2 linked regions of the Rhinolophus ferrumequinum genome follow. The protein of the gene in region 2 interacts with the protein of the main gene of each other region in a pairwise test. Links are inferred from orthologs where the notes say so. Each region holds a gene or a part of one and is shown on either strand. Other genes may lie near its edges. The genes, in order: UBR1 and DNAJB11.

The links.
Region 1: the proteins of DNAJB11 (region 2) and UBR1 interact in a two-hybrid assay, tested with the Homo sapiens proteins (2 studies listed by BioGRID and IntAct). The link is inferred for Rhinolophus ferrumequinum from reciprocal best matches to the Homo sapiens genes DNAJB11 and UBR1.

The regions. Positions count from the first base shown.
Region 1 is NC_046289.1:62,618,998-62,625,703, forward strand, and holds the start of UBR1 (E3 ubiquitin-protein ligase UBR1), read left to right. Parts: upstream 1-1,844; 5' UTR 1,845-2,183; coding exon 2,184-2,264; intron 2,265-6,706. UniProt on the Homo sapiens protein: E3 ubiquitin-protein ligase which is a component of the N-end rule pathway. Recognizes and binds proteins bearing specific N-terminal residues that are destabilizing according to the N-end rule, leading to their ubiquitination and subsequent degradation.
Region 2 is NC_046285.1:59,037,685-59,044,390, forward strand, and holds the start of DNAJB11 (dnaJ homolog subfamily B member 11), read right to left. Parts: upstream 4,013-6,706; 5' UTR 3,816-4,012; coding exon 3,748-3,815; intron 1,148-3,747; coding exon 991-1,147; intron 1-990. UniProt on the Homo sapiens protein: As a co-chaperone for HSPA5 it is required for proper folding, trafficking or degradation of proteins.

The sequences.
Region 1 (6,706 bases), on a different chromosome or scaffold from region 2:
ACCAACATAGTTAAAAAAAAAAAAAAGGCACATAACTACTCTGTATTACTATAGTTTTTATCTCACAGACTTCCTGAGTCTAGGGAACTCACAGGGGGTCTGTGGACCACACTTTGAGAGTCACTGTTCTGCAACATTTTTAACTGCTGCAGAGTATTACATTGTATGGGTGGCCACAGTTTGTTTAGCCAGTGTCCTTTATTGTTGGACATTTGAGTTGTTTATAATTTTTCTCTATTACCAATACTAATATAGTTAAAACTTCACTTGCATCCTGAATTATTTTTCTAGGATAGTCCTAAAAACGAAATTGCTGGGCCAAAGAGTATGCTTTTTTTTTTTTTTTTAAAGATTTTTTTTATTGGGGAAGGGGTACAGGACTTTATTGGGGAACAGTGTGTACTTCCAGGACTTTTTTCCAAGTCAAGTTGTTGTCCTTTCAGTCTTAGGTGCAGGGGTCGCAGCCCACCATCCCTTGTAGGAGTCAAACCGGCAACCTTGTGGTTGAGAGGATGCGCTCCAACCAATTGAGCCATCTGGGAGGCAGCTCAGCTCAAGGTGCCCTGTTCAATTTTAGTTGCAGGGGGCGGAGCCCACCATCCCTTGTGGGACTCAAGGAGTTGAACTGGCAACCTTGTGGTTGAGAGCCCACTGGCCCATGTGGGAATCGAACCAGCAGCCTTCGGAGTTAGGAGCATGGAGCTCTAACCAACTGAGCCACCGGGCCGGCCCAAGAGTACGCATTTTTAAAAAAACAGCTTCTGAATATTGCCACATTGCCTTCCCGCAGATTTACCAATGTACACTTGCATTTTACATAACAATAAGTATCCTTCCAGCTTACCAATGACAGTTATCTTTAGAAAAACTTACCAAATTTACAGGCAATAAATGGTATCCCATTTTTAATTTGCATTTCTCTGCTAGTTAAAAACTAGTTAAGTTTTTTTCATGTATTTATAAAAATTGGTGAGTTGCATATTTATGTATTTTGCCCATTTTTCTTTTTTTTTTTTTTTGGATTTTAACCTTTAGTATGTCATGTAAGTTGAAAACATTTCTTCCCGTTTTTAATTTTATCTTTATGTAGTTTTTCTTTTACGATATGTAAGTTTTTAATTTTAATGAAATATACATGTCATTTTATATTTTCTGCCTTCTGTGTCATGCTCTAAAAAGCTTTCTCCATCCCAGTATTACACTATTTACTTCTTTACTTTAGTAGTTAACTGTTAAATGCATTAAAATTATTTTGATACATGATTTGAAGATCTTAATCTATTCCTAAATAGCTAACTATTTATCATTTCTAAAGTGTCAGAAGCTTTATTTTTCCCTTTGTTAAAAATGCATTTCTAAATGTTTTGTAAACAATTTAAAACAATGCAGATGAAGCTCAAGTAGCTCTTGACACCTTATTTCTCTCCTGATCCTCAGAGCTTACTATTAGTTTGTTGTCTTCCCTTTCAGACTGTTTCTTTCCCTTTTAAATGTACTAAGCATGAATATATAGTTTGTAGCAACTTGATTGTTGTGTTTTCCCCTCACTTAATTTATCTTTATCTTTCCATATGGTGTTCCATAATGTGGATTACCATGTTTATTTTGTCTTCCTTCTGCCAATGAATGACTAAATTTCCAAATTCTCGTTATTTCTTCACTATCACTCCTAAAAGAGCTGTGGCCCGACTTTTATTGCGCGCACGTGCAAGTGCTCATTTCTAAAGATGTTAACAGCTTTGAGTGCTTTTTCATTTGTGGGCTCAAGGGAACCATTATTGCAGGTACGTTGAGACAAAACGCACCCAGACCCACGACCCGGCCAGAAGGAGATCCAGGACGGGTTGTCACTTAGACCCTGACAGTTTTCTTCCTTCCATCATGGACGCTGAATTTGTTTTTTCACCTCGTACAAGCAACAGTTCGCTGAACCGAAACCACACACACAATCAGACCGCCACCAAGCACTACAACCAAGAAATTAGGGAAGGAACACGCTCTGGCCCTATGGGCCGTGACGCTTCCTTCCGGGAAACGGACCGGAAGTCGCTGTTGGAGTCTGCGTGCAACTCGACTTGAGGGGCCGTCGTAAAAGTGTCGTCCCTCGTCTCTTGGACCGGCCACAGGTTTCCGCTCGCCTCCGGCCGGGGGGTCTGCAACTGCGGGCGTCAGTTTCCCTCAAGATGGCGGACGAGGAGGCTGGGGATACGGAGAGGATGGAAGTCAGCCCGGAGTTGCCCCGGACCCCCCAGCGCCTGGCATCTGTAAGTCCTTGTGGGCAAGTCCCTTTTGCACCCCCCAGCCCCTCCCTACCGCGCTCAGAAGGATGCGGGGCTTCCCCACTTATGGCGGCTTTGGGGAGGGGGAGTCGTATGGATTGATCTTGAAGGAATCCACCAAATAAAGTTGGTCATCAGCCACATTCCTGCCGGCCAAGTCTACGGAACATAACGACTGTGTCATCTATAAGTGGTTACAAGCTCAAGCGTGTCTCTATCCTGAAGTAGAAAGAAGTGGTGATGTTATTAGATGGTTTGTCTGGTGTGGGGGCTGAGGCGGGGTTGGAGGAAGAGCCATTTTCCCACAGACGCTGCACTGACCCCCTCTGGACGACAGGCACCCAGGACGCAGCACCCAGGGTTGGGTTGCATAGCTAATTGGGTGGGGCCTGATAGTGTCAGGGTGTGCGGCCACTGTCACCTCATGTCAAGATGTGGGGTGTGGGAATTACAGCCCTTCATTCTAGTATCTTGAGAACACCAGGCCTCATCTTCAACGGGGAAACCCGCCATCTGTCGCTGCCCTTTAAAGGTGAAGAAGAGACTTCTAGACATTTCAAGTCAGAGCAATACCATTCATTAATGTCGGAATCTATATGTTGCCCTTGTATTTTGAAATAATGGGAAGGCAGAGATCAGGAACCAACGTGAGTCAATAGTCTGGCTCCAGGAGAAAGCTGACTGAGGAGGAGAAGAGGTAGGGGGTAACATTCAACAGGTAACGTTCTGGATGATTCCCAGCATCCGGTGGGGAGAGATATAGGAAATATTCAAATATTGATCGCTACCTGATGTTGAGTTTTATCAGTTTGTCTTTATTCTTGCATATAGAAAAGTGTAGAAGGATATACACCTCTTTCTGAAGTTTCTTTGACTTGTAGTTTTAATAAAAGCATTCTTGAAGTATTTTAACCCTGTAGACACTAGAGCATTGTTTTATGAAAGAACAGGGTGAGCTCCAGAAATAAGAGTTCCCCCAGGGAGTAGTGAGACTGGCTCTGGAGATAGAAACCAGGTAGGGAGGCAGTTGGAATAAGGGTATGGCCGCCAGCTTGCAGGCATCCTCTACCCCAAATGGCAATTCAACATCACTTCACTATTTGAGATGATAAGAAATGAGGAGATAGGGGAAGTTTAGAAGCAGCTGAAACATCTGGTCTAAATGGTGGAGCTTGTGCTTTTTACATCTTTGAAGGAGTGGAGAAAACTGCGCTGTGGGTAAAGTGTTATTGTAATTTTCTATTGCCAAAGATGACTTTGTTTATTTAAAGCTTTGATATATTCATTCCTTCCAGGTGGTACAGTAAAAACTTATCAATCTGGACTTCACTTATTTGGGATTGGAGATAATGGTAGAGTAATCAAGCCAGCATCATGTTGTAAACTCTTTACTTCAGGAAATACTAGATTTCATCGGGCAAGGCTTCGGGTTTTGCAAAGTAGTAGGTAGATGCCAAGAGAAGTGTAATAGCCTCAGGGAACTCAGAGTCCAGAGACACAGATAAGACAAGTGCTCAAATAATTTTAATTCAAGATAGGGTGATGTAAGTAAATGAAAACTTGTGACTGTTAAGCCTCATGATCACTTTTTGGCTTGGATTTCTCTATCTACTTGAGGACCCCAGATATCATCCTACTTGTGTTTTCTTTTTAAAGCTACCAACTTCAGTTTTATCCTGGCAGTGGAGTAAGATACTGGCTTTCCATTTTACTTCTTTGCTGTTAAGCAAAACAAGCCCGGCGATTCTTCAGCATTTGAATGATTTGTATTCTAAATCACCATTGGGAGGCAGGGAAAACAAAATAAATATGGGACAGTTACAGAGGTTTAAGAAATCTTACTAACTCCATTAAAGTCTTCTCCCTGGGGTTATAGTTTCTGCTATCCTTAAATCAAACTTCCTTCTTAATCCCCAGGTCATTTTTCTGTTATATTGCTACCAATAACTATGAAGTCTCTCAAATTCCTAACATCACCTAACATGCAATTAGAATGAAATAATAGGTATGACTTATTGAGCATTTATAAAAGCCATTGTTTAAAAATGATTAGGGGAAAAATTCTGTTGGTCTGGAGAGGGGTCCAAGAATTTGCATTTTCACAAGCATCCTCTGCTAATTCTGAAGTCCTGGTCTGTGGGCCACACTTTGAATAAGATTTAGCTAGACATTTGGAAGTTCTCAGTATAGAGTTGAAAGATAAGGTTGATCTTTGAGGAGGACAGTGTGTGTGTCTGTGTGTATACACAAATACACAGAAAGAAAGAGAGAGAGAGAAAGAGAGAAAGGCACACGTGGAAAGAGGGAGGGAAAGGGAAACAAGAGGAGGGACAGGAATGATTGAATTTCAGGGTCAGACGATGTAGAAAGAACCAGGGAAGGACCTAGAAAGGGAGTCGCCAAGCAGGTAAGAGGTGAGAGTAGTGCAGTATCATGGGGTATAGTTCCTAGGAAAGGGTGGAAGATGAGGACTGAGAAAAATTGGGAATTCATAGAGTATATGGGCGGGGAGGGAGGGGGTCTGACAGAACTTCTGCCTTCTGTCTTTGACTGGATTTTCTTTTTTAAGTCCAAAAAATTCCTTCTGACATGGTACTAAGCTCTTTTTCCTGTCTATACCCTCTGCTTATGTGATTTCATTCAGTCCTGTGGCTTTAAATACCACCTGTATGCATTCAGTTCCCAAAGTTATATTTCTAGGTCATCTCACTTCTGAGCTCCAGAATCACAGATCCAACTGCCTACTTGACATACCCACTTGGGTGTCTGATAAGTGTTTCAAACAGGGGAACAATTAGGAAGCTATCCCAGTAACTCAAGCCATAGTTGATGGTATCTTGTCATGGAGAACTCACTGGAGATGAAAAGAAGAGGATGGGTTTGAGAGAGATTTTAGAAGTATGATAGAAGCAAAGCAAAAAGATTTGCCTATGGATTAGGCATGAGGGGAAAAGGAAGAAACAGATGACATCTGGATCCCCAGTTTTTGGCTTAAGCATTCATGGCTGTGGTTGTGTCATATACTGAGAGGAAGGACCTGGTTTGGGGAGTGGGCAAGCAGGAGGTAGAGCAAGAGTTTTGTTATCCCTGTCTCAGTAGATGACACTTCCATTTAATAGCTCTTCAACACAAACAACTCTGTCTCACTCCACCTTTCTAGTCTAGCCATCATCTGTTGCCTAGGCAACTGCAGTGGCCTCTTAACTGGTCTCTTTGCTTCCATTTTTGCCTTCTTCCAGTCCACTCTCCTCATAGCAACCAGCGTCATCTTTTTAAGACTAAATTACATCATGTCAATTTCCTGCCTAAATTTTTCAGTGGTTTCCCATTGTACTTGGAATAAAATCTAAACACATTACAGGTCATTCAAGACCCTCCCTGATTTGGCCTCTACATCTCCCCTCACTCCTTTCCCCTTATCAGTTATTTTCCCCTCATCAGTTTTAGCCACCATGGCCTATTAATTTGTAAAACAAGCCCACACTCTATCTTGCTTTAGGACCTGTGTCTTTGCTTGCTCGTTTTGTGTGTGTGTGTGTGTGTGTGTGTGTGTGTTTTCCCTAGTGTGTTATTCTTCTGCTTTTTCTTGATACTTATCTGAAAGATGGGTTCCTCTTATTCTTTGTCAGAGCACCCTGTTGATTTCTTCCATTGCACTTATTATAATCTGGAATTACTGTATTATCTTTATTTACTTATTTAAATGTCTGCCTCTCCTCCCAAAATGTAAGTTCCATGAAGGCAAGGATCAGGTCTGACTGATCAGTGACATAGCCTGGTATGTGCTTGATGTAGCAGACATTTACGTACTCTTAATGAGTATCTAAGGATCAACATCAATGATTTATTTTAGCAAGATTGGTAGTGATTAGGGAAGGAGGTTGAGGATGAAGGTAAAGACGGAGGAGGGAATGAGGGGGCATATTAGGGTAATGGTTAAACAGGGAGATAAGATAAGCCAAGGGAATTGGTGGGATTTGAGGTATTAAAAGTGGAGGGACTGAATGTTATGGTCAGAAAGGGGAATTTTGGAGTTTTAGAACATGGAGGCATGCACATCAGGTGTTTGTGCTGGTAGATCCAGGTTAGACGTGCCTCTATCTATTCCTATAGTACCCTTTTCATACTCTTGTTATATGTAGCATGTCTCAGGCTGCAGTCAGTATTGCCTGTTTACTGTCTATCTTTCCTTCTAGACAATAAACTCCTTGGTGGTATGAACTCTTTCTTGTTCACATCGGTATCTCCAGGACCTAGCACATTGCTTCAAAATTTTTATTGAATGCATGAATGAATGAATCAGTGAATAGATATAATCTGTGGTGGAGTCAAGGTGGAGGTAATAGGAGTTGAGGTTAAGAGATAATAAGGCTAAAAAGTTTAAATTGAATAAGGGGGTTTAAATTGAATAAGGTGGATTTTTTTTT
Region 2 (6,706 bases):
TTCTAGAGGAACTCGCAACACATGCAAAACAGCTAACTCCTAAAATTAATAGATATGAAAAATTATCAATAGCTTATTTGTAAAATTTTTCACTATAGTGTTGAAAGTTTCTGTGTATATGTTTTTCAAATAGTAAATAATTTATTAAGCATTCAATAAATATTCCTCAGTGTTATTAAAAATGAAGGAAAAAAAAAGAAAGAAAAAGAAAATGGGAAGAAGAATATGTCCAGCTCTACTATATTTCATGGTGTCCTGGTGAAAAGTAAATGAGATGATACACATGAAAGTGTTTTGATCTCTAGATTAGAGGCTGTAAATTCAAACTACAGCTGTGTTTTGTTTGATCTGCATAAAAAAAGAAAATTTTAAATTGAATTAGTTACCAAAATTTTACAATCAGGAGAATTTACATAAAAATCTAGATTTCCACTTCTCTTGAAACATTAAATGATCTGGCAACACAGTATTTGCATTTGTATGTGGCAAAAACTGGTCAGGGCTGAATAACAGCTGCTTCCTTAAAATGGGGCAAGAAGTCTTCAGTTTGTCACAGTTCTCATCAATCTCTAGCGATTCCCAATATGGAAGGTAAAATATCCATTGTCATATTTTATCTTATTCCTGCCCTGTATGTTATTTGCCTGGTCCATATGGGCATATGGATTTGTAGTCCTCATTTAGATTTTGTTCCTGTTTCTGGCTCCAGCTCCCAAACTGGTTGATTGATAATAAATTTACTTAACTAACCTATCAATCTTTCTTTCATTCACCTTTTTTCAACATTACTCTCCTTAATAAAACAAATAATATGAAAAAGGCAGCAAATGGCATCTACTAACATTAATTCACACTGTAGCCTCACATATTACTTTTATCTATTGTCTATTTTTAAAAAGAAGTGACCTGAAGGAAGAGAATGTTTCCCGTGTTATATGGTCTTTTCTCTACCTCTAGATTTTATTCCTACTTTATACTTTTCTCACTCACCTCATAAGCAGCACCCAGATCCTGGAATTTCTCCTGAGCTCGTGGATCATCAGGGTTCCGGTCAGGATGAAGCTGTAGGGCTAGTTTCCTGTAGGCCTTTTTAATATCCTTTATAGAGGCACTGCGAGGCACCCCCAAGATCTTATAGAAATCTCGACTGGGGAGGAGGGAAAAAGAGAGGATACTTCATTAAAGAATTATATATAATACTTTTAAGTGAATTTTTTCCTTTATATTTAGGCTTGTGTCTGAGCAAAGAGGCAAGAGAATGAAGGTATACATGAGACAGTAACACACAAAAAAGAATGACTGAAAAGAGAACACACCAGAATTTGTAGTAAGTTTTATATATTGAAATAATCACAGAGAGAGGCTATGTACTTTTTGAGCAATGCTAGTATTATTCAAAACATCTATGTCATTCTTTTCTTAGAATTACCTTCAGTCAAGAAAACCATTTTCTTATTTTCTGTTCACACGTTATTTTCAACCAAGAATTGTATAAGCAAATTAACTCTTTTCCCCATTACTGACTTCAAATGACTTTTGACTGTTTCTGAAGGTCAAATAACAACCTCAAAGGATGATTTTCTTTATTCAAAAAGATTACATCACATAAATGTTCTGACTAACAGTACACTGGTGGAATGTTAAAGATGAAGTGACTGAAATTAACTTCAGAGGTTAACATAGGGGTTAAGCCAAAGAACTCTGAAGAGAGAATAACACCCATTTGGATGTATGAGTTGTGGGTCTTTGCTGAAAGAGACAGAAAACATCAATCCTGCAGTCATTGCTAGTAGTTATACTACTTTGTCTAAGTCAAGTCTTAATTATAGACAGCTGCTGAAGACCATATGCAGGAGCTTACAAGGCTCAGCAGCCGCAAATATGCATTTGGCATGAGCTGGGAGATAAGGTATAGACATCCACAGACTTCCTTGCAAGGGATTATGTTGGAACCAAATTAATTATAAAGGAAATCTTTGTAAGAAGGGCCAATGGGAAGATAGAATATGACTATAAACTTTCAGGGCAGGGACTGTGTCCAGCCCACAGAAAACACCAATAAATATTCATTGAATAAAATGAATAAATAAGCACGCTCTCAAAAATCTATTCCTTTTTGCCAGAGTCACTTTAGCCACGAGAAGTTATTCTGAAAATGCATTCTGTCAGTAAAGGAAATGGGAAAGTTGTTCACAATGGACACACTAATGGAGTAGTGATGGTAATTTTATAATGTAGTGGGGGGAATGCACTGGGGTACCAAGATAGACATGATATAAGACAGAACATTTCAAAAATTATTTCATAATCTTTTAGTCACACTTTAGGAAAATCATTTAAGTTTTTAAAATCATGCACAAAGGGTTCCATGAGGATTAATTAAGTGCTTTATCCCCCCCCCAAATAAAATCTGCAAAAACTTGGTATCTCTTGAGACAAGAACTACATAAATTGAAAGGTTCACTACAATTAATGACAAAAGAGGTAACTCTATAAAGAATAAGGCTTAATTAGGATATGCATAATACAAAAATGGTGAGGTAACAGCTCAAAAAATACAGGGGAAAGATAGTAGCTGGCATAGCTCAGCATCACCATTACAATTCCCAAGAGATTCCTTTATGGAAGACTTGAAGATTAAGGCTACAGTATTAACTATATTTATATGGACATTTTGTTTAAACACCGTAGGGTACTTACTGCTTTAAGTGTAAATACTACTAACAAAAACATACTAAGAAAAACGATAATAAGGCATTACCTATGAGAGTTAATTTAAAAAGAAATTTAAGATATTTCAAAAGAAAAAAAGAATAACAATAGTTTAAGCATATATACAAAGGGAAAAAGCTTTGACGAGAATAACAAGTGCTTAAATTTTATAGCTGTGCTAGGTAGTACTTTCTCCATTTAGAGCAACCTGTTAATTGTTAGAAGTTAAGACCTTACTCTTCCTCACATTCTACGAATATTCTCCTGGCATATCATATCCTGTGGTCACCACGCTTATAGGATCAAGGATCTTAAAAGGCTGGAAGGATTCTCCAGAGTGCAGGTGGTCCTACTCCCTTTGTAGAGGAGGCACATTACTATCTTCGTGTCACCGCTGTGAATTTAGGTGGTTCCTTCAAGGTCACATAATTCCTAAGTGGGGGAGGTAGATGGGCTAGAATCTCAGTCTAGTACCTGTTGGTGAAATGCTCTTCCCTCTCATACCATTCAGCTTCTCAAAACTGTACCACGGAAAGAGACAGTGAGGCATGATGACAGCTCAGACTCAATATATCAAGAAGCCGGGAAGTACAAAGGTCTGCCTTACTCCCTCAATTTAATTTCCTTCAGTCCCAGCATGGCTTCCACATCTGTTCTCCTTACTTCCTTACTCAGCATGGCACTAACCCACCCACTTTAATGTCAGCTCCCCAATGGCTCTTTGCAGGCTCAACATAATATAGTCCTGTTTCCCAGCTCAGCAGCCCCGCTCGGCGCCCCCCGCCCCGCTCCTTGTGGTAGGCGCTGCATCCAACTCCCACTCCTCCGCACAAATCTAGCTCTATAGGCTCTGTGGGTCTAAGCCCCTCTCCCTCGTGTCACCCATCGCTCTCCCCACCCCACTAGCCTGGTCCACACTACGCATTCTTCGGCCCCACCGCCTCACCACAGCAATGCCCCCTCTTCATCCCTCCAGCCTCGTCCCAGCCAAGGCTGACTCGCGGGCTCTGTGCCTCGCGGGTGCCCGCTCCTCACCCGGCGATCACGGCCCCGATGAAGTACAGCAGCAACAGGCAGAAGGTACTCAGGTTTTGTGGGGCCATGGTTTCGCTGTGCCAGCCTCTGTGCCGGCCCTTGCCCCAAACACTCCTCACAGCGTCCGCCGCCGCCGCGTCGGCTCCCCAGCCCACCCAGCCCTGAGAGGCCGCCTCACGCAGGGGTCTCCTACTCGGTCCGGAACGACAGCTAGCTTGCCCCCCCCCTCTGCCAGTCAGCTTCCCGGGAGTCCCCAGTCCCCGTGAGAGAGAAGCCCTCGGCAAGTGAGAGCCAATCGCTGCTCCGGACATCACACGCGGCCGGCGCCTCGCAACCAATCAGCGCAGTACACTTCACCTCCGAGGCGGCGCTGGCAGCCAGTTAGGCTTCAGAACTACAGCCGCAACTCCCGGCCAGTTAGAAGAGACAACGTCAGAGAATCGCGCCGCTGCAGGAATCCGCTCAGCCCCGGCTCCCGCGAGTCGTAGAAAACTACGTAAAAGGGCGGTAGGGGAATTGGTGCCAAAAGAGGGCACCAAGATCCAAGAAGTTCCCCCACCCGCCCTCGGACTCTCCACCAATCGGGAGGCTCCTCCTTCAGCACTGACCAATTGCGGGAGGAAAGTTTGAGCCTGGTTACTAGTCTTGGAATTTCATTCATATGGAACTACACGCTGGAGGCGTGTAGGCAAAATGGGCGGGGACAATTACTCCACGCCGACAGTACCCCGGAGGCAATGCTTAGGAGATCTTATTACTATACCTTCTCCTGACCTCCAAGGAGAAAATTGTCTCGGTTTCACAGAGAAGAGACCGTGGAGACAGACCGAGGTGCGGATTCAGCTTCCACCACTTCTTAAAGGTGAGAACAGCCTCCGCCCCTTACCCACAAGCCTGAACCTAAGCTTCTTTATTTACAAATTTGAGCTATTTTACTGGCAGTGTTGTGAAATTTTAATAGGAGAAAATCTGTAAATAGTCTAGTACAGCGTCTGGCACATAAAGCAGGCGATCATCGCCTGCTTTATGTGCCAGACGCTGTACTAGACTGTTTACAGGAGAATTCTGATTCCCTCCACCTACTTTTGCTTGTCTCAGTAAACGCACCACCTAGTTGTTCACGACAAAACTCTGGGTGTGTTCCTTGATTCCTTTGCCGCATCCCCTATCCAAGTCTTTATCTTTAAACTATAACCTGAATCTGTCCACTACTCTACATCTCCACTATCTCTCTGGGCTAAGTCACATCACTGCTCACCTGACAAGTACCTCCTAACTGGCCTCCCAGCCTCCTCTATTAATATCTCTTGTTCACTCCTGCCCCGCTGCCATGATTTTTTTTACAAACATATCAAATTATGTGATTCCCCTGCTTAAAAGCCTTGAATGGCTTTCTATTGCACTTAGAATAAAATCCCAGCCCTTTATGCTAGCTCATAAAACTTTATATGTCTCAAAAAAGCTGGGGAAAAAATTTTTTAAACCTTATATGAGCTCTACTTTCACCTAGTATACACCTTACCATGTTCCAGCAAAATTGGTTTCCTTTCTCTTTTTTTAATACACCAAGTTCATTACTGCCTAGGGCCTTTGTTCTAGCTGTTCTTTCTGCCAGAAACATTCTTCCCTCAGCTCCTAACAAGGGTGACTCCTTTTTAAACACAGATATCAGCTTAAATATCACCTCTAAGAAGACTTCCCTGATCAATCAAAATTAGCTCCTGCTGAATCCCTTGTTCTTACACCATCTTGTTTTATATTAGTTTCCATCCCCGCATCCCGTACTCACATACACTGGGAATGCCAGTTTCGTGAGAGCATGAATCTAGATTGTTCTGTTCTCAGCTGTATAGAATAGTACCTTAGAACAGTGCCTGCCATGGAGTAAAAATTGCTTCGACTGTGATCTTCGTATTATGTCTTCTTATTCTTCTTATTCTTCAAATTCAGCACTGACTTCATCCCCCCCAATAATCACTATCTGATATTATCCTATTTTATTTTCTTAATATGTATTATCCATTCTCCCTATTAAAATATACATTCCAAGAAAACAATGACCTGTTTTGTTCACTAGTGTAATCCTAGTGCCTAGCACTGTGCCAGACAGAGTGGTGCTCAATAAATAATTGCTGTTGCAGAAAACATAGACACAGAGAGAATTTGATCAATGTCTGAGCCACTTAGTGGTGCAGCCTGGATTCTAACCTAGATCTTTTTTAATCCAAGGCCCCTGCTCTTTACCTCTTGATTCATGCAGAGTTAAGAGAAAGACAAAGTTACTGCTTTCAGGAGATGCCTACTAGGGGAGAGAGGCTATGTAAACGAGGAACTAAATTGCATTTTATGGTCTTATTTACCTTTGTATCGGCCACACCTAGAGAAACCATAAACGAACTAAGAAAGCAGGAAATGGCTAAAAATCATGAAATGAAGGTTTAGAGGAAGGAGTGATGTCTGCTGCTGGGTGGAATCTAAAAAAACTTCGAGAAAGTGGTTACATGTTGGGAAAACTAACAGAGTTAAGCTAAGCCTGGAATTTCCCTGCATCAGAAGGCCTGGGCTTGTATCTTGGCTAGTGTCTTGCTGTGTGACCTTAGGGGTGTGATACTGTCACCTCTACACCCTAGTTTCCCCATCAATAAAACAAATGTACTTAATATTAAGGACTCTTGGGAAGACTGAGATAATACACATAAAAGTAGTTTACACAATGCCCCATCCAGAATAAGCACTCTAAAATGTAAATTATCATTATTATTACTGATCCAAGTGTGCTGACCTTTCCAGCAGCTACTGCCTAACCACAGTTCTGTGGAACACTAAAAGACTTCCTACTCTCCTGAGTTGAAAGGTGTGATCCCAGAAAGCGGGGGTTGGCTCCGGATCCCAGTCTCCAGGGCTCTTGGCCTTCGCCAAATTTTTCTCAGACCGGTGGAGAAGCGATCGGCCACTCTAG